Linked DNA regions of Mus musculus: all the other regions are reported to be linked to region 2. The links are microRNA targets in miRTarBase. Many come from high-throughput screens and were not tested one by one. Region 2 holds a microRNA gene; each other region holds the end of a gene's coding sequence. Distances are between the middles of the regions.
Evidence for each region. Region 2 holds the annotated microRNA mmu-miR-1933-5p (AGUCAUGGUGUUCGGUCUUAGUUU, at 4,165-4,188, shown strand). A microRNA usually pairs through its seed, bases 2 to 8, with sites in the 3' UTR of a target mRNA and lowers its output. Matches are read on the target gene's strand: a 7mer-m8 pairs with bases 2 to 8, a 7mer-A1 pairs with bases 2 to 7 and ends in A, and an 8mer does both.

Region 1: the mRNA of Rcc1l is a reported target of mmu-miR-1933-5p. Seed matches in the 3' UTR shown: 7mer-A1 at 1,742-1,748 and 7mer-A1 at 1,773-1,779.
Region 3: the mRNA of Gprc5c is a reported target of mmu-miR-1933-5p. Seed matches in the 3' UTR shown: 8mer at 4,402-4,409.

The regions. Positions count from the first base shown.
Region 1 is chr5:134,143,184-134,150,305 of GRCm38, reverse strand. Rcc1l (reculator of chromosome condensation 1 like) reads left to right here. Exons shown (of 11, transcript NM_033572.2): 11 at 1,300-2,248. The coding sequence ends at 1,377. Among named protein-coding and RNA genes, the nearest start is that of Rcc1l, 30 kb to the left of the region's middle.
Region 2 is chr11:21,341,828-21,348,827 of GRCm38, reverse strand. It overlaps Mir1933 (microRNA 1933), which reads left to right and starts at 4,153; the gene lies at 4,153-4,240. All of the region lies in intron 3 of Ugp2 (UDP-glucose pyrophosphorylase 2), which reads left to right.
Region 3 is chr11:114,869,580-114,876,701 of GRCm38, reverse strand. It overlaps Gprc5c (G protein-coupled receptor, family C, group 5, member C), which reads right to left. Exons shown (of 5, transcript NM_001110337.1): 5 at 4,085-6,381. The coding sequence ends at 6,349. Among named protein-coding and RNA genes, the nearest start is that of Cd300a, 17 kb to the left of the region's middle.

The sequences.
Region 1 (7,122 bases), not on the chromosome of region 2:
ACGCTAGCTTGTGTCAAGTTGACCTAAAACTAGCCAGCATACACACCATATAGAGTACATTCCAAAGACACTATATTCCACACACACCTACCACACACATATCGTACACAGTACATTTCTCCATACATACCACATACACAACCAAAAAAGGAAAAAAACCAAACACTTAAGAGTCTGTGAGGCCTACTGGATAGAGGCACCTGACAGCAAGCATGACTCCTACCTGAGTTTAATGTACAATATCCACAAGGTAGGGAGGAACCAGCTCCTGAAGGTTGTCTGCTGACCTCAAGTGTGCACATGCACACACACACACACACACACACACACACACACGCACACACACACATATACTTGTTGTGCAAACATGATGATCCGAGTTCTAACCCTCAGCACCTATGTAGAAAGGTAGGTATAGCCACATATGTGCTCGCAATACCAGCATAATGGGGTTAGGTTCAGTTGTGGGGACAGAAAAATCATTGGGACTTGTTGGCTGCCAGCCTAGCTTCAGGTTCAACAAGAGGCTCTGTCTCAAGGGAATAACTTGGAGAGTGATGGAGCAGAAACCTACTGTCCCCCTCTGTCTCCAGACATATCACACACACACACACACACACACGCACACACAAATTTAAAGAACAGAATAATGAGGCTAGATGGGACCAGCCTCTGAAGGCCAGTGTAGCTCTGTGGCCTGCTCCCACACTGGATCCACCAGGCCGAGGCCTTTCCTGTACTCTTGGGAAGTACTTGGTGACCCCAGTGAAGGTTACCAAACACTCAGCCTCCAGGCAGGGGATCTGGAAGCATGGTCACAGGCAGTGGGACCAGGAGCATCCATGTCCTTCCCTAGGGACACCCTTTTTAGGGTGGCTGCTAGAGCTGATGCAACTGATGGGCAGAGAGGTAGGGTAGCAGAGAGGTAGAGATACTAGTGAGCTGTGGACTAGTGTGGGCAGCCCATTTCCAGGGGATACAGCCACACTCACAGAAGGCAAAGAACCTTCTAAGAGGAGGGGCTGAGGGTGAGGCTCAATGGGTAGTTTGCTTGCCTAACACATACAAAGCCTGAGAGTCTGTCTCCAATACCACGTAAACCAGGTGTGGTACTACATGTGTGTAAACCCAGCATTTGGGAGGTAGAGGCAGGAGGATCAGAAGTTCATGATCAGCTTCAGCTACACAGGGAATTGGAGGCTAGCCTGGGTTCTGTGAATCGTGTGACCCCCATTCCCTCCTGCAGGGCTCCAGAGCCTGGCTGGCCTTCCCTCACCGTGTCCGTGGCTTCTCTTCCAGGTGACGATGCCCGGTGAGCCTGTGGATGTGGCGTGTGGAGTGGATCACATGGTGACTCTAGCCAAGTCATTCATCTGAAAGGCCCTCTGGGCCCAGCCTGGGAGCCACACCACAGCAGCAGCTTGGCAGAGGCAGGGGGTGGCCACCAGCAGAGCTTCTGAGGGTACTGGGAGAGGGCCAGGGCCTCTGGGGTGCAGGATGCTTGCTGTGTGTCCTCAGTGGGGACATTCTACTAGAGGTGTGTGGACAAAGCCCTTCCCCCGCTGAGGTTCCTGCTGCTGGCCTCAGCTCAGGATGGCTACAGTTGGCTTGCCGTGTTTCTGAGGAGCACCAGGGCGTGAAGACCTTGGGTGGCCAGGCAGATTCCTTTTCCAGGTAACACATGGTAGCATCTGGGGATGTGTCTTGTCTGAGACACTATTCTTAGAGAAAGTTCACTGCTCATGACACATTTGATATTAAGAGTTTAGAGACATGACAAGGCACTCAGAAGAACTTGTAGTCCCCTGTCACAGGAGGATAAAGTTGGCCTCAGCTCAGCAAGAAGCCAGCTGACTGCCTGCAGCTAGGGCCTCTGGTCAGCTGTCATCCCAGGAGTCCCGCAGAAGGACAGTCCAGGAGCCCAGGATGCCTTGGCTTGAGACTCTTGATGGAGCTGCCAGTGGGAGCCAGCCTCCCGCTCAGGCCTACAGTATCCCAGCCTTGGAACTTCCTCACTGCCTGGCTTTGAACAGCCCAGAAGCCCCTGAAGAAAGACTCTGCGGGCCAAGTGCTTGTGGGCTGAGGGCCGTGGAATCTTGGCTGAAGGGCTGGCCTTGGAGTAGGAGGCCTCAGAAACTGGGAAATACTTGTTTTTAGGGAAGCTTGCCCTTTCCTTTCAGAACAGGGTTGGAAAAGGTCTTTTGGAATAAAGCCTATTTTCTGCCTTTTTACAGAATGGAGGTCTTGTAAAAGTTTGACTTGATCATTTCTTGACCATAAAAGTAGCCAATGGAACACACTTTAGAAGGCAGTCCCACTCAGGATGTGTGTGTGTGCGTGTGTGTGTGTGTGTGTGCGCGCCACACTCCTGTGGAGGACAGACGACAGGTAAAGTGTCACTGTTTCTCAGGTGCTATCCATCTTATTATTGAGATGGGCTGTCACTTTGTAAATCACGCTGGCCTTGAACTCACAGAGGTCTGCCTTCCTCAGTCTCCAGAATTCTGGAACTAAACCTGTGTGCTTGTTACACCCAGGTCCACCTTATGATTGGGCCAGTATCTCTCCCAACCTGGAACTTCCCAGGGATAGGCTGGCCATCCAGAGTCCCAGGGACCCTCTGTTTCCATTTCCCCTGTGCCAGGGTTACAGGGCCCTGCTTCCTATTTTTACATGGGCTCTGGGGATTGGACTGAGGCCATCGGCTTGTCTGTCAGGCAAGCACTTTACTGAGTCATCTTGCTAGCCCCTGGGAATTGTTTTCTGAACAGATCCTTTGGCTGGGAAAATAGCCGGTACCTGAGTCTCTAATTATGGTCTCCTAGGCTGCCTGCTACACCCTGCTCCTGTTACTTGTTCACTCTAAGGTACTTGTGGGCTCCTTAAGTGCAGGCGTGGGGCACAGTGAGTCATGCGGGCAGAGGAATCTCGTTTTGTGCAGCTTATCCTCGGGCAGGGACACGGACAAGAAACAAAATGCAGAGGACGGCTGCTTGTGTGGGCTGTGGAGGAAAGCGAAGTCTTGCCCCAAGTACCTGACAGGAACAACTTAAAGGCAGAAGGATTCACCTTGGCTCTCAGTGTCCGAGGGTTCCAGTCCTGCCATGGTAGCGTTCGAGATGGTGGGAGTTTATTGTAGGGCCTTCCCAGCCGGGCACATCAGGAAGCATACAGGAGTGTATTATGGGATGTGAGCACACAGGAGTGTATTATGGGATGTGAGCACACTGGAGTGTATTAGCAGGGGCTGTACTACCACCTTTAAAGGACTAACTCCGCCCATCTACTTCTGTTGTTCAGGCCCCACTTCTTTAAAAAATTCCAGTTTCCACCACAGTGCTACCTGATGTGGACCATACATTCAATACATGAGCCTGGGGGAGGGGCATTTCAGATTCAAACCCTAAAATGGAGAAAGGACATGGGATGTGTTGAAAGGTTGCGGGTTAAAGTCGAGGGGTCAACAAGCAGGCTGTCATGGGAACCAGTTGGCTGGTGTTGGAAGGAATGGCCGTTTGAGCAGCTACAGGCCCCTCACCCAGGCAGATGCCCCTCTGTAAGGGCTAGTCTTAGGCTGACAATAGGAACATTTTCTGTGAACTTGAAATAGAAGAAGACTTAAGGAGCTGGAGAGATGGATGACTTAGTGGTTAAGAAGTTACTGCTCTTCCAGAGGACCTGAGTTCACTTCCCACCTCAGGGACTTCACAGATGTGTGTAACTCTAGCTCCAGGGGATCGGACCCCTCTGTTGGCTTCATCGCCATACATCTGTCACCACAAACACCCAACTAAAAATGTTCTTAATTTTAAAAGTCCTTAGGAAAACAAAGGGGCCAGGTATGTAGCTCTGGTAAAGTCCTTGATTAGAATCCACCAAGCCCTGGGGTCTGATTTGCACCCCAGCACCCCATAAACAGCATGGGTGCATTTGGGTGACTCAGGAAGTGGTAGACATGGAGACTGGGTGGGGGGGGGGTCAGAAGCTCAAGGTCACCCGTGGCTAGACCTTGAGTTTTAGGCCAGCCAGGGGTACATGAGACCCTTTCTCAATGAACTAAAGAGCAAAGCAAAGCCCCTTGACTCTAGTCACCTGTTTGTACACAGGGATGTCCTTATGCTTGGGGTTTCCTTGTTTTTAAAGTTTATTTTATATATTTGAGTACACTGTAGCTGTCTTCAGACACACCAGAAGAGGGCACCGGATCCCATTACAGATGGTTGTGAGCCATCATGTGGTTGCTGGGAATTGAACTCAGGACCTCTGGAAAAGCAGTCGGTGCTTTTAACCACTAAGCCATCTCTCCAGCACCCTCCCTCCCTCCCTTGAGCTTTCCTTTAAGTCTGTTTTACCTGTTGGTCAGCCTGGCCATGTAGCTCATCTGTACCTCACCAGGGTTTCTGTTCAGCTGCCATCTATACGTGGGTGTCTTTGTCTCTTTGGCCCTTAACCCCCCAACCCCCAGCATTTGACACTGGAGACGCTGCTAAGCCATTATCTCAGCAGCCATTATCTTGGCTGCTCATTCTGTTCCAGGGAAAGCTTTGCTCTCATAAGCACGTGACTCATTCCCCGGATGAAGCTTGCCACCTGCCTCCTCCCAGGTGTCCTCTTTTCGTTCTCTCTCTTAACAGGTTATTTTTATGCGTGTACGTGTTCTGCATGCACATATGTCTCTGCACCATCTGTGTGTGATGGCCACTGAGGCCAGAAGTGTAAGATCCTCTGGCGCCAGAGTTATAGCATGCTGTGAGCCATCATGGAGTACTAGGAAGCAAACCTCAAACCTGTCTCAACAAGAGCAAGAACAGCGAGGGCTCTGGAAACCTTCTCTCCAGCCCCCTCTTACATTTTTTTTTTTTTTTTTTTTTGAGACAGGGTTTCTCTGTATAGTCCTGGCTGTCCTGGAACTCACTTTGTAGACCAGGCTGGCCTTGAACTCAGAAATCCACCTGTCTCTGCCTCCCAAGTGCTGGGATTAAAGGTGTATGCTACCACCGCCTGGCCACATTTTTTTGAAATTTATTTTTGAAAGTTTTTACGAGTATTTTGTGGGCGTGTTAAGTATATACATCACATGTGTGTGTTACCCGCAGACGCCAGAAGAGGGCATCATATCTCCTGGAACTGGAGTTAAAGATGGCTGAAGGCCACCATGTGGGTACTGGGGGCTGACTTGATTGAGACGTTTAGATTTGCAAACACATTCCTCGCTGTGTCTACAACCTTGTGTTCAGAAACATTTAGGTCATAAGAGCTCTGTCCTAATCATCAGATTGACGGCTTGATGGATCCACCATTTGATGGCATTGGTGAATGGTGAGACGTGGCAGGTCACCAGTGATGCGATATTTTGCCCTGGTCTTTTCCCATGTTCTCACCTCTGCTTCCTAGACGCCACAAACAACCCCTACTCAACAAATTGTTCTTGTAACTAACCTTTTTAGCCTCATGCCCATGATCATGACGGGGAAACTCTAAGCTGGGACAAATCCTTCTTCCCTGTAGCTTTGATTCGAAGGATATGGTGTTTTGCCACAAGTATGTCCGTGTACCACATGGGTACCTGGTATCCCCCGAGGCCAGAAGAGGTCTTCAGACTCCCTGGGACTGTAAGCCACCACGTAGGTGCTAGGAATCGAACCTTTGGAGCTCCCGGTTAAGAGTCAGTGCTCTTGACCACTGAGTCACTTCGCCCGGTTTCATTATGTAGCTCAGGCTAGCCTGGAGCCCTCTATCCTCCTGCATGCTGGGATACAGATATGTGTCACTTTAAGCCACTATTTGGGACCATTTACTCCACAGCATCAGGGAGCTGATATAACCCTTCTCAGCCTAGGCAGTCTCTGAGACTCAAGGTGTTTTACCTGAGGGCTATCCTGCCTCCTCTAAGCCATGACCTACGTTCTCCCAAACAACGGAGGCGTGATCCTGGACAAGTCAACATAGAATCAGACAGCTATCAGGCAACATCATTTTTTCCCCTTCATTTAATGAACACTTTACAAAGTACAAAATATACTGTCTTTTTCAGGGGGAACGTTAGGTACTTTTTTTTTTTTTTTTCTCTTCATCATACAGTACACAACTCTTAAGGGTTTTGTTTCTTTGACAAGGAGAAAACAAAAGCATGAGGGGCCCTGGAGGTGGACAGAGGAGGACACCCGTCCCCCACCCCCTTCACCCAAGCTGCAGGACTGATGAAGTACCACTGTTGCTGGTGACCTGGGCACGACATGCCAGGAGAGGGTCAGCTGGGGCTGTGGGCAGGGCAGGGTCCCTTAAAAACGCTGCCGGGCACCCATACCCACTCCCCTGCCTCGGGATAACGGAAATGATTTTGGCATACAGGAGGAGGGCCGGGAGGACTACTGCTGTACTTCCGTCTCCCCTATTGTTTGGAGGCTGACCCTGCTCTAACTCTTCCTGTGATACGGGTAAACTGAGGCAGGAGAAAGAAAAAACGTGCTAGGCTCAGCCCATGGAAACCTGAATTTTGCCCAGTCTAGAGCTTTGTGGACCCTTTCCCAAGGTGAGTTCCTGGGAAGCAAGGGGCACCTCTTGTCCCCAACCTCTCTCCGTGCAAATACTGTCTTGAGAACTCAATTGTTTGAAGAGTCCCACAGGTGGGCCTACGCCAGTTCAGGCTGCCTGCATGGATTCCCTGGGCTGCTGAGGGGCAGAGTCTTTCTTGGGGATGTAGCGGATGGAGAAAGGAGCCAATCCCATCACAGCAACCCCACATTCCACCCTGGAGCCAGGGCCAGCATTCCTATCTGTTTAACTGTGAGGCAATGGGTTAGGCTAAGGGGCCAAACACTGCATGAAACAGCTCACAGCTCTGAGACGGGCTCTGCATACGTGGGCACACACACTCATGCCTAATACATGTACACACACACACGCACACACACACACACACGTAAATAAACAGCATCCTGAAACATGGGACTGGACCACCCTGCACTACTGACTCTCCCAGGTTCCCGTCTCTTCTACCAAGAGCCACAAATCACCACCACCAAACCGATGCCCGCAAGAGCCATGGCCTCAGGCCTCAAGCCTCTCTTGGTGTCTTTAGCAACAGGCCAGCACCTGCCTTCCCCAGTTGAGTCATCTTCA
Region 2 (7,000 bases):
TGCATCGATGCGTCGGACACTGAGGCCTCTGAGTTCCAATCACATCATCTTTGAGCATGCTGTAGCAGTAAGTGACTCCTGGGCAGCTGGGAAGCTGGAGAGGCTATGGAGTCCATTCCACCTACTCTGCCAAGATACTTATGGCAGAATTTTTTTCCTTTCCTCTGTTTTTGTTATTAATTTTCCACTCTTTTACCTATGCTCCATACCTCTGTGGTAAGAGGCCTGGTATCTTACCTTCTATTTCTTTTTTTTTTTTTTTTTTTTTTAACTTTCCTTAACCTTCTCTAAGGGTCATGCCCCATGTTGGGCCCTGGTTATAGGGGGTTTCTGCAAATGCCAAGACCAACAGGGTATCAGACTGTGTAAGGCAAAGAGGAAGTCCAATTTAACACAGCCTTTGTTGGTTCAAACTTCAAAAGTCTAACCTTTAGCAGTTTATTGTAAGTATATATAAGTACAGTACAATTTGGAGAAAAAGCTTGCTGGTGTCACAAAGCCCCCTATGCACGAGGAGGCAAAATGACATCAAAACTCTTTTCAGAGTACATGGCACTTGAGATAAGCTACATATATTATCCTAACGGCCTAGGGGAGGATCTGAAATGGTTTTGGTCATACAGATAGTGTAGTGGTCATTTGGGCTCCTTTGGGTCCAATTTATGGGAGCTTGGTATGCCCTGGCTCTACAGACAGCATAAATCACCAAGTTATTAACCTCCTCCATCCCAGTCTTCTTGGTGGAAAAACAGGCTAAAACATCTCTCTCTTTGGAAAGACAATCCAGGTGTTTAACATTCCTGGTTTCCTTAGTGCTTATCTTTGAGGGCAGGGTCCTTTGTGTTCCTAGATTTGCATGCGTGTGTGCATGCGTTGGAGGTGGAGAGGAAGGGAAGGAGAAATGGAGAAAGAGGGAGGAAGGGAGGGAGGGAGAGAGGGAAGACTGAAGAGAGGAGAGACAGCAACCACTGGACACCATGGTGTGCATGTGCAGGTCAGGACAACCACCAGCATTAGCTTTGATCTTCACTTTCCATCCACCTAGATCTGTCCTAGACTAGCTGCTCGAAGCTTCTGGGCCAGCTAGTTTCTGTTTCATCTCCAAAGACTCATGCCCAGCCACCAATTGTATCTCATGTAAGTAGTTTATGTCATACAATTGAAAAGGAAAAATAGGTCTGTGGTTCTGCTATCCTACCTCTAGATCTCTAATCCACCATGAAGGAATTTCTACTTATAAGGGGAGAATTTTTATATGAAGCAAAGTGATCCACCCATACCTACTCCTTATACTTTCTGCCCTGAAATTATTTGAGAGAATCTTTTACTAATCCTTTTTGGGGGTTGGGATTCTTCAGTTTTGAGCAACTGAATATCCACACATCCCATTTTAAAACCAGGATAACAGCAGAATGTTCACACCAGGTACCGAAGCTTGAGAGATCTTTGTAAGAATTTCAAGCCCCCATAACATTTAGAATTATGTGTATGTGATTTGTTTTTTCCATAGTAGACAGTAGACAGTCAGTGTTGCCATACTCCCATAGGAGACCATGGCCTATGAAGGTTAAGAACTGCTGTCTTACAGATCTGGTTCTGCACATCTCTAATCCCAGCATTCCAGAGGTGGAGACAGGAAATCTATGCAAGTTCAAGACTTGCTGGTCCTACGTAGTAAGTTCCAGGCCAGTCAGGATTGCATAGTAAGACCTTGTCTCAAAATAAAACAAAACAAAACACAAAAGCAAAAAGAACAAAAAACAAAAACAAAAAAAGAAACTGTACAGAACTAGATCTTTACAAAACAAATATAGATCACTTATCAGCATTTTAGCTTTGTGTTTGTGGAGGACTTGAGTCCAAAACTGACTAACTGGCACAGGGATAAGACCGACTTTCTGGTCTCCTGGGGTGAACCTGACACAAGACTTCTCTGAGAGTAAATGGCTTATCAAAAAGAATAAACCTGTGAAAGTAAGACTCCAAAATACTGCTTAAAGTTACTCTCATGGTGGTCTTTGGTTGGACAGATGGTGAGTGTGGCTGGTTCTTTGTCTAGAGTCAGAAAAAGAACCAGAGAGTTTCTTTGCTCCTTCATTGGAAAACACAAGATGTTTATATTACAATTTTTAACGATAGCAAAATTCATGAATAAAGTAGCAACAAAATAATTTTATGGTTGGTGGTCACCACAGCAGGAGGAACTGTGTTAGTTGGTCTCAGCTTTAGGAAGATTGAGAACAGCTGTTGATACACATATACCTGCACTGTAGTCTTCCACAGGACTCTCTCTACAGCCGCTTTCTCTTTCCTTTTTATCCACCTCCATCTTCCCAGGCCTGCTTCCACAATGTGAATTATATAACTAACTAACAATGGCTAGGCCAGTGGGTTAGTGTGAGGTGGGGCAGGCAAGGTGATTTTATTAAAGCTAGCAGATTTTGACTTAAGAGAGTTGTTATTTGGTCCTTCCTTGGATTCTGGTTTGTTTGTTTGTTTGTTTGTTTGTTTTTGCAAGTTCTTTAATCACCTGACTTTGTCCTTCCTAATCCATACTCAGATGGGATGTTGTGTGTAAGCCACCACCCTGTCTGATAAGGATATGGACCGCATGCTGCACATGATTGACTTATCCTATGACCGTAGCTCTGTCTGACATCTACAACAACTTATAAGAGGAGTGTACCTTTTTGTTATGTTTAAATGCTTCTTGTTTACCATCTATGTATGTTGCTTTTACATTTTGTAGTTTAAAAATATTCGGAAGTCTTTTAATCCCCTAGAATTTCTATTCAAATTTTGAGAGTTCAGTAAAGTATAGGAGTGGATTTTTCTTCATGTTTACCTTTCTAAGTTCTAGGACCTTGCTTGCCATCTGTAAAGCGCTGCTTTTTATTTAATTTTTTGCTTTTTATTTAATTTTGATTTTCTCACCCTGGTTTTCTGCCAGTTCTTTTATCATCAGATCTTCTGTACTTTATGAGGTTTAAAGTACACAGGGATTTTACAGTTTTACATCTCTTCAGTAATTTGAAATTGCTCCCATTTTTAATAAGATGGCAGTACGTGAGAGTTTGACAGGTAAAAATATCAACAGTAGGAAACAAAATACTCTAAGTCGATTAAGATGTAAAAATTGAATTAAGTGGTTTACAATGGGTTTTTAAATAAACAATTTTACAGTAGTTTGAGTTAGAGAAAATTTTTTTAGAATCCATCTTGTTTTTAGCTGGGAAGGTAATAGAGCTATCTAAGCTAATTTTTATTGTCTGTATTCCATTTTAAAACTTCTTTCTGAGTCACCGTGAACATAAGATGATTACTCAAAAGGACTGAGAGAATTCCAAAGTTCAGAACGAAGTTTATAAAACAGGAAACATGGATATGTCAAAGGGTACCTGTGACTTGACTAAATATTGGAAACAGGTGGAAGCAGGCCATTGACTAGAGATTATTTACAGAAAGGTTCAGTTAAAACAATTGTCTTCATGTACATAGTCCTAAAGCCCTTTGAGGATTGTAATGTATTCTCTAATTTCAGGAGAGCATGAAATACCATTTCAAAGGTGCTTGTTTTATCTTTTATTTTCTAAGCCAAAAGTTAATTTTTGTTTTATTTATTTGAAATGGTAAGAATCAAACCACAGTCTTAATGCAAGATAGCCAAGTCATCTCTTTGTAGATAATTCAGCTATATCTCTTCTCAGTAGTTTTCATTTAATTAAGTTTGATAGATCATTTACTAGTAAAAACCAACCTAGGAAATTTCAGCAGCAGCAGGGAGACGGCCTAACACAGCTACCAGCAGCCTAAGAGACTCTTAGAGACCTCCTCTAAGGTAGAGCCAGATCCTTGCCTGTGCTGCAGAAAAGAGTTTCAAGAAGCCCCAGAGTGAAACAAAGTTAATTATTTTGTTAATTATTTGGCAGACTCATGGGAAACGGATAGTACACAATACCAAGATATAGGCATGGGCTTCTGGAGAAAGCATTGCACTTAAGGATCTTTACCATGGTAATATGTGTAATCCTGTGGCTTCTAAATTACCTACCTTCCTTCCTTTTCTTTCTTTCACTCATTCCTTGGCAGTTTCATACATGTGTAAGATGCATTCTGGTTACCCCTACTCCTCTCAGCACCTCAGCATATCTGTCCTGATCCCACAGTCATGGTGTTCGGTCTTAGTTTGTGACCAGTTTAGTTTAACCAGGACCATCAGTGTGACTATTGGATTGGGACTATCCACTGCGGTGAGTGTGGTGCGGTCACTGGTTAGGTATACTGCTGAAGGTAATGACTGTGTTTCCCAGAATCTTTCAGTAGGAAACAGTTTAGCAGAGAAGATTAGACCTACCCCCTCACTCATCCACGTCTGGCTGTTAATGAGCTCATTTTTGTGCAGGCTGAGCGAAACCATTTCCAGTTGTTTGAAGGGTATGCCTAAGTTGGCTGGATACTGCCCATTTGGGGGCTTTTGGAAGGCCTTCTCTCTATTTTCCACACTTACATTCTTTATGCTATATCCTCTTCTGCATTGTTCCTGAGCCTTGGAAGAAATGGCGTAATGCCTTGTTTAGGACCAAGCACTCAACCGTCACTTATTCTCAGGATCCTATATAGCTATACATTTGTAATTGTTGTAGAAACTATTTAATCCGGATCCAGGGTTTCTACCCTGCCTTAGATCATTTAGTTCCCAGATAAAAATCATACATAACCTTTATATTTACAGTTAGCCTTAAACAGTACAAGAGCTGGGCAGATATCTACCCTCTATGTTGTTAGAATCTACTTTACTATCAGTAACTCTGAGTTATTACTACTTGCTATGTTTCATCTGGGCTGTTCTTAACTCCAGTTGGCCAGCCTTCAGAGCCATGTTCTCTTGACTCCTAACCCATGGTGGTTTCTCCTTTATCCTCCTGTGCCTCTCCTCTTCCTTCTCCTCCCTCCCGTCATCCTTCTCCTCCAACCGCACGCCTGGGAAACCTAAACCCCATCTATGTCTCTTCTGCCCAGCTATTGGCTATTGGCATCTTTATTTACCAAGCAGAAATAACTTATGAGCAAGGTCTGTATGCTGACTGAGTTATCTCTGGGACACCCAGGTCCTGGGGGGCCGCACTTACCATTACAATAGATAACAAAAGACCAAACCTCAACATGTTATCTACCACAAGTGGTAATTGTTTCCATATACTTGGGAGATGGTTCCATGTTATGACAGTTTAGCACTCTGGCCTCCCCAGCTGTGAGTTTATGAGTACTTGTATCGTACCAGGTATGAATTCCCATTATAATCAGAGAATATAATCAGAGAGTAGTTGTTACCCATGACAGTCATGCTGCTCTTGAACAAATAAACATGTTTTGTCCTGGCAGGTAAATATCATAGTTTACACCAACAACGGGTAAGGTTGTTGGTGTGTTTTCTTCCTCAGCAGCCTTTGCCCAGCGTATTCAGCACAGTGAAAGCAAGCTGGCATGGTGGAAGCTCGGTTCCAGTTCATGCCACCAAGATAGATGGTGTCTTCAGCAATAGAGCCGTACCATCTAGTTCTGAAGGGCAACCACAAAGAAATGGCAAGAATTTTTATTGTTTAGGAGTTTTCTATGGTCTCTCTGTCCAGTTAATCATAAGGGAGGTGGCCCATTGTCTTAGTCAGTGTTCTATTGCTGTGAAGAGACACCACAATCAAGGCAACTCTTATAAGCAAACATTTAATTGGGGCTGCCTTACAGTTTCAGAGATTCCAGTCCATTATCATCCTGGTGGGAAGCATGGCAGCATCCAGGCAGACATGGTGCTGGAGAAGGAGCTTAGAATTCTTTGGGCTTTTGAAACCTCAAAGCCCAACCCCAATGTCACATTTCTCCAATAAGGCCACATCTACTCCAGTAAGGCCATACCTAATATTTCCCAACCAGTGTCATTCTCTGATAACTAGGCATTCAAGTATGTGAGCCTGTGGGGGCACATTCTCATCCAAACCACCACACCTACACCTTGTATTAAGTTACATTTACTAAAAATGTAATTTTCAACAGGGTTTAAAAATTAAAGCTTAAAATTTAAGTACAAGTAATGAATTGGCATATATACTTTGCTTAAAGAATTTCCTTTTGTGAATGAAACTAAGGTTTTGTGAAGTTTATTGTTTTAAGAATGAGAGGTGCTAACTAGCAAAAATCAAGGTTAAAAACAGTTTGGCCCAAAATAAGCACAGTTCATTTTTTGATTTTAAGATCCTTGTTTAAAATATGTTTAGGAAAATATGCATTAGCTCTGTGTGTTTTGACTATCACTTGATGTTCCTTTATTGATTCCATCAGCAGGAAAAACAAAATAGATCCCAGGGCAGGCAGCTTCTCATGACCTCTGAATATTTATTTTCATCCTGGCTCACTATCCGTATACTCATTATTGTGCTTTTTACAAAAGAGAGAACTGAAGTTCAGAATAATTCACCTAGGGAAAAGAATCCAGATGTAAACTTGATGGGTTGTCAAGACTTGAAAGACCTGGTTCTTTAGTATCCTCAAATGATATTAAAGGATCCCTCTGTCTCTGCGAACACTATGGGGTATACTCTGAGCTTATCAACACGTGGGCACAAGAACTACACATTGCTGTGACAAGCATCACTCTTGGCTTTTTACCTACACTTCCTTTGTGATCCTCAAGCAACTGTTCTTCTCTGTTATCCCCATACATGGTAGGCATAGAGTTGGTGATGGTTCGATAGCCACCTTTATCTCCTTAGTTTGTAATTCAGAAGTTATTTCTTGATCAGCCTGAACCTATACTCTTAGCCACTATGTGTATTATAGAACATTTGTTTGTTTTATTTGCACATTAATTATTACTGAAAAAATGGTATACTACAAGATTATTGTTATGTTCTGAAATGAAATTTCTGGTGTCTTAAAGGGTTTTAGTTTGGTGGGGAATGAACTTTTCTGAAATAGGGCATAGTAACCTCTAATCTGCACAATTACT
Region 3 (7,122 bases), 94 Mb from region 2:
GGGATGTGTCTGAAAGAGGCAGCATACAGCCTTAGGTTGTCTGGCCCTTTTTTACAAATGAACCCTGCACCCTACTCTCAAAGATGAGCCCTTTGTAAAGGCTTCCTGTAACTTTGTTATTGAGGTTTTTTTTTTTAAGGTGTGTGTGTGAGTGTGTGTGTGTGTGTGTGTGTGTGTGTGTGTGTGTGTGTGTGTGTGCATGCGTGTGTATACCAGAACCTTCAAAGACTAGGTGATCCGGCATCAGATCACATGGAGCCGGAGTTACAGGTGGTCTCGAGACCTGCTGTGGGACCTGAGAACCAGACACCTCCAAGAGCAATCTTAACTGTTGAGTCAGCCTTCCTCAGCCCGCCTCCTCTTCTCTGAGACAGTGGCCCATCCCACCGTGTCCTCTGCAGGAGCTGCAAGTGAGCTATTCATTTCCCCAGCCCCAAGCACCCAAGCTGCCCTTCCCCCTGACCTGAGCTCAGTTCCCCGCACCCACAGTAGGTGGTTTACAACCACCTGTAACTCCAGTTCCAGGGAGTCCAAAATAATAAAACCTCTTTTTAAAACTGGTGATTTAGAGCTGGGGTGGGGGGTTGTGCCCTTGCCTCACAGGTTCAAGACCTTGCCTTCTACACCCCCTCCAAGCCCACCCCACCCCCGGCACTGCAGTAAATTAGGAAATCAAATTCATGGTTTATTTTCCACAGTGAAAATAGAGAAAGAAAGGGGTGGAAAGAAAGACCGGGTAGAAAAAACAGCAAGGCAGTAAAAGTCTCTGCCTCCTCTGCCTGGCAACACACACACACACACACACACACACACACACGAACCTGAACTTTATTTCCCCAACTTTCTTATCAGAGTCCCTCTATGCAAATAAGGGCATCTGGATATGGGGGGTGTTGGTATAAGCGGGCTACTAAAACCATCTGCTTTGAGTCTGTGATTGGTTTCTCCTGAAAAGTTCTTTGCATGTGGGGTAGAGTTCCGGACCTATAGCATCCTGCCCCCGTGTCCCCATCCCTGCTCGCCGAGCATTCCCTCTAGGCATCTGGTGCAGGGGCTGGTTAGGGAATCTGCCCGGGCTACGGGGGTGTGTGTGTGTGTGTGTGTGTGTGTGTGTGTGTGTGTGTGTGTTGGGTCCATTTATCCCTCTGAGAGTCACAAGACAGAGGGCTGTGCTCAGTCAAGTGTAGCCTGCCCCCTGCTGTGACCTGCAGCTGGGCACCTGCTACCCAGACTCTCCCTTGACCTTGGGCCCTGACTGTGGGTCTCTGGTGGCCCAGATCCCCTGCTGTTTGTGTACAGCAAACAGACTGGTCTGGCTGGCATTCTCGTCCCAAGACAGCTCAGCTCACCAGGCAGTAAGTAGTGAGCTGGCCGTCACTTGTTGCCTGTGCTCCTCCCCAGAGAAGCAGCCCAGAAAGCAAACAAAATCTGGGACTATGTGGATTCCCAGGGTCCGGGTAAGGTTGGCTGAGGCCCCTGTAATTCCCTAGGGAACCAACCCATGGGTTGGATAATGAATTCTAACCAACATTTGTCACATCCCCAGGCATTTTTGATTGTCACAACCTGGGACCTGGAGATCCTGGTATCTAGCCGATAGAGGGTCCCACTTAGCATCTACCACACACTGTTCCCAACAAAAGAATATCTTCTTTCCCTAATGTCAGTAGTGACTGTCCCCTGAAGCCCGACCAAGACAGTGGAGGGGCTCCCTCCCCAGGCTGGCTGGTCCAGGCATCTGCCCTCTTTGCAGATAGGGTCTTGCTTCTTGAGCTAGACTGGGTCAGACATGATCCTGGTCTGGTGGAGTGGATAGGGTGAGACTTCTGCACCAGATCCCTATAGGTGAGGCTAGCAGAGCAGGGTTGGGGCACCGTGGGCTGCCCCCAATAACCCCAACACTCCTACCCATCCCCCTACCCATCCTCACCCAGACCTGGGTAGGCTCAGAGACAGCTAGGGGCAGTTGGTGATGGCTGGCTGGCACTCAGGGGGATCCAACTGCAGGGTGTCCGGGTGGGGCTTAGGTGAGAATAGAAATCAGGCCCTACAAGGAGAGTGACAGCCGAGCTCCAGATATTCAGGGCCCCCTCCCCTCAACCCAAAACATACACTCCAGGAGCCTAGGAGAGAGTGGGGTGTTTGTGGTGGGAAAGGGAGGCACAAGATCTCCTGCGCCCAGAACCCTGGAGTCCTGGCAGGGTTGGGACCTCTGGATTGGGACTCTGTGAAACCTTCCCAGGTCCCCACCCCTTGCACCCTCAAAGTGCCCTGGGAGGGTGATGTGAACTTCTGTCTCTTTATGGACACTTCAGGGAGCGTCTCCTCCTCCCCCTGGCTTGGGGGAACCTGCAGGCAGACAGCTGGCTAGGATGAGCCTCCTAACCCCCTCAGCTCCTCTGTGGAAGGCAAAACCCTGAAGCGACCTTTCATCTGGCTAGTTCTACTGCAGACCTCGGGCAGAGACTGCTGTATCTTCCCAACTCCAACCCAGATGGAGCAGGACAGTCAGGCCACACCATGAGGATGCTCTGTGGCCCAGAGTTACTACCATTCTGAAATGGTCATTTGAAGCCTCCACAACTTCTTCAGAGCTCCAGTCTCTCCTTGTAAAGAGGAGGAACAACAGTCACTCCTCTTGATACACCTATGGGTACTTGGGGGACAGTTGTCTGGTCCCAGCCCTCCAGCCTGGCTATTTGGATTTCCTGTGCAAGTAGGCCACCCACCAATATGTTTCCCCCTACACATCAGAGAACTGCCAAGATATGCCAACATATACCTCCAAGCCCCAACCCAGCTATTGCACCCACCTTGGGAATCCAGTGCCTGGGACAAACAGAGTTAAGTCCAAGGTCAGACAGCAAATGATCCAGTCTAGAGGCCCAATAGTCTAGGGAGGACACACTTGAGTGCTATGCTTGAATGTGACTTTTGTGTGAGTGCTCTTCAGTATATCCAAAGGTTGTCACTCCTATTTTACAGATGAGCAGAGACTAGGGAAAGGTGAAAAGGACTGTGGAAGGCCACAGCTAGTAATCAACCTTTGATCTCTACACATGCTATAGAACTCTCCTCTCACTTCCTGTCACTTCCTGCTACAAGGCTAATTGAGTCTCTTTGAGAGTGCTGGTCTCAAAGAGTCACCCCCACCCCATTATTAACACCCCAATGGGACCCACCACCCCCACTCGTGGCTATTAACAGATACCTTTCCTCAACTAGGATGAGGTCAGAGCCCCAGAGGGCCCAAGGAGGATGAGGTCAGAGCTCTCTGGCTGGTGCAGATGCTAAATAATTCATGCTGCTGCTGTAAACGGGGCTGTAGCTTCCTGGAGGACCCAGCCCTGAGACAGCAGGCAGGAAGTCTGCTTAGCAGCCCCCTGAGCACAACCTTGGCGTGCCCTCTGCAGAGCAGGAGGGGGTGCTGGTCTTGGTGAGAATGTTGGTTGGTGCCTGTGCGGTGACAGCTGGGTAAGCCAGCCAACCTTTCTGTGTCTTGCTTTCTTCTGCAAGAAGCCGAAGTGCTGCTGCTGAACAAGTACAATGGGCCACAAGAGCAAGCTGGGTGTGGCCATGACAGGGCCCCCAGGCTTGGGGCAGCTGTTTGTGATCATCTCTGGCCCAGCATGCCTGTGAACAAAGCATTTTAACAAAGAAGAAACGGTCTGTGCCCTGCCTCCCAACCATGCCAGGCATAGCTGGGTAGTTATCTGAGGGTGTCCCCTTTCCCACCGTACCCCTCCTACATCTCACGTGGGAACCGTTTTGTCTCTCCGCCTGGCTGGTTAAGAATTCAATGTTTGTTTGTTTGTTTCTTCTATGTAGTCCTGGCTGTCCTGGAACTCACAAAAGATCTGCCTGCCTCTGTCTTCCAAAGTGCTTAAAGGCTTGCAACACTGTATCCAGCTGAGAATTCAAATATCTTTCAGCGGCCTGGTTTTCTCCTTTAAAGTCTCTAACCGGAGAGAAGTTAGTTAGTTGTAATCCAACAGCTACTGTAGCTGAGATGGGGGAATGGGGAGAGAGAGGCAGGCAAGGCAGCTGACACTGACATTCCACAATCACTTAGAAACACACAGGAACAGAGGCAGTAACCCCTCACAAAGAAAGGGCAGTCGTTTAATTCTGAGCAGTTACAAGGTTGAGCCTCCCTTTACATCCACTATAGGATTTAATAGGGTCCGTGTGACATTTATTAAGGGATAGTGGCCTGCAAATGATGAGCTTGGATCAAGCCTGGACCTACTTGATGTCTCCCACTCAAGGCTTGTGTATGATACAGAGCTGTTCATTTGGAGGCCCCCAACCCTCCTAAAAAAAAAAAAAAAAAAAAAGTACTTTTTTTTGTTGTTGTTTGTTTTGTTTTTTTGAGACAGGGTTTCTCTGTATAGCCCTGGCTGTCATGGAAATCACTTTGTAGACCAGGCTGGCCTCGAACTCAGAAATCTGCCTGCTTCTGCCTCCCAAGTGAAAAATGTACTTCTCCACTGGAACTGGAACTAAAAGTCGCAGGGTTGCCATGAAGGGTAACCATGACACTCCCAAATAGCCTACATCCTCCAGGAGCCTCCAATCACTCCTCAGCTTCAGGTGCAGGCAGGCCTTGGGCTATAAACACAGCCACACCCACCACAGGCTACACACCTAGGGATGTGGGGCTTTCTGCATCCTAAAGGACTCATTTAAGACAGCAAACTAGTCCCTCGCTTACTGCGGCAGATCTTGGGGCTCTAGATCAAGAACAGTGTGAGGTGCATGGAGACCGGTTCCCTTGTGGAAGGACCAAGCATCCTCAGTCAGCAGAGGGCAAGAGGAGTATCATTTGGAGGTATGGTCCTACTCTGTGGGAACCTTTCATCCAATGATAAAAGGCACAGGTTGCTGGGGATGGCATGAGAACTAGGCATGGAGTGCCTGGCTATCCTGGGAATCCACTCATCTTTACCTCTACCTTGGCACTAAGCAGGACTGGGCTGAGGGCCAAGTTAGCACACTTGGGGGAAAGGGTATAGAAGAGGCTCTGTCTGGTACCCAAAAGTAGAACAAAGAATGATGTTCTGGAGATCTCGAGTCCAGGGTCTGGTACCATGACACCATCTCAGCCACTGGTGTCAGCAGCTTGCAGGCCTGAAAATGGCCCTCTCTGACCTGGGTGGCCATCGGGTGCCTCCGGTGCATGTCCTAAGGCCAAGGACTCTCCTCTAATGTTGAAAGCAGCAGATCATGTCCATGTGTCCCAAGGACGGCTGCTGCCCAAACTGAGGTAGAAACTTAAGACGTCTTTCCATAAGCGATCTACAGTCCTGGACCGCACATCCCACCAGTCGGACACAGGAAAGGTTCAACTCACCCTGAGAATGCAGCCCTGAATTCCACCCACATGTCCTAAGGGAACTCCCAGACCCCACGTATGTCCTGGTAGCCCAAGCAGGTGCTTCCAGAACCTGTGAGATCCAGGTAATTCAGCAATATCCACATCTGCACCTGTCCCAGGAGCTACCCCAGGAAGCTAGCACAGAAGGCAAAAGGAGACTGGGGGAGATTCAAACAGGGGATTAACTGAGATACAAACGGTGCAAAACCCTAGCACCACTGTGGCCCACGGGCTCTTCAACTCTGATGTGGGTTCTCTGTGTGGCAGGGCTGGACAAGAAGAGCTTCCTCAGATGGGACCAGTGTAACTGCCATCTTCAATGGTGATGGGCAGTGGGGAGGACAGAACAGGCCGACTGGTCCTGCCCTGGTGAGGGGACACGACCCACTGAAGGTATAGTAGACTCCATCCAGATTCAAAGGTGCTGGGACCTGAGACCCTCAGGTCATGAGAAACAGCCTGCCCAAACTAGCCAGTGACCTCCTAGAAGGTGCAGCAGGCCCTAAGTAGGGTAAGGGACAACTTCTGTTGTGTGGCTTGTCTCCAAAGACTCACAAAGATTCACCTGATGTCCATTGTGAGACATGCTGACGGGACACCAACATGGCCAAGAAGGTCCGTCACACACTGGACATTCACAGCGAGACAGCAACCTGGAGAACCACATGGGAACACAGACACTGTGACCTGAGGGATGTGTTAAGGCAGGAGATGGGAGTCAACAGTTCACTCCCTGTAGCTGCAGTTTCTTGGATACCAGGAGGTTGGGATGGGCAAGGGACAGGTGGCCCTATGAGCACCAGTCACATATTTCAGGCCTATCCCAAGGTCCCGACTCAGTCCACTGTTTCAAATTGGTGGCCTCTGGTCCCTCCCAGTTCCAAGGACAGGTGGGAAAGCTGCTGGCCCTGCTCAGATGGATGCAGAGCATTGAGGGATCCAGATGAGGTGTGGTCCAGGGAAGAGGGCATCTACCATCTTGTTTTATTAGTCGGGGACTGATCCTAAAGTAACCAGAAAGAACAAATGTCAAAATGGAGGATTCTACTGCTCACAGCCCAAGTACTGAATTGGACTAAGAGAAAAATTTAAAGTCTCAGTCAGTCCTCAGGGAGCAATGCCATCTAAATATAGACGTTTGGAGAAGTCTGGAGTCTTCTTCCAATAATCCTTTTCTCTCAACAACAACAAAACAACCCTATTTTTTCCCCTTACAACTGGTGTCAGAAAATAGCTTCTGGCTAGTCCATGACAAACATGGATGGGCAGGCTCTCAAGTCCCCTTGAAGAATCCGGACTTGGCATCCAAAGTTCAGAATATTGTCCCATCCATGAGGAACAGAAGCAGCTCAGAGCCCAGGCCACTGGTCTGGCTTCTCCCAGGGAGGGCCAAGGACAAAAGCTGGGGATATCAGTCTTGGTCCAGCCACCTAGAGGCTCTATGGCAAGACTGTGTCACTTTGCTTACTGTAAAAGAGGTTGGGGGGCAGCTAGAGAGATGGCTCAGCAGTTAAGAGCACTGACTGTTTTTAAGGTCCCATATAACCCTGAAGTGACAGCATTCTGAGACTTTGGCTCTGGAAATGAAGAAGACTGGTCTTGTCCTATTGGTTGACCTCTCCCACACCCCTGCCCCCCATACCCACCATCCATGGAAATGATCCTAGGCTGTTGGGGGAAGACTTTTCCTGATCCCCAAATTTTAAGCACATGGCTGGCCTGCCTGCCTGCCTGACTGTCTTGTT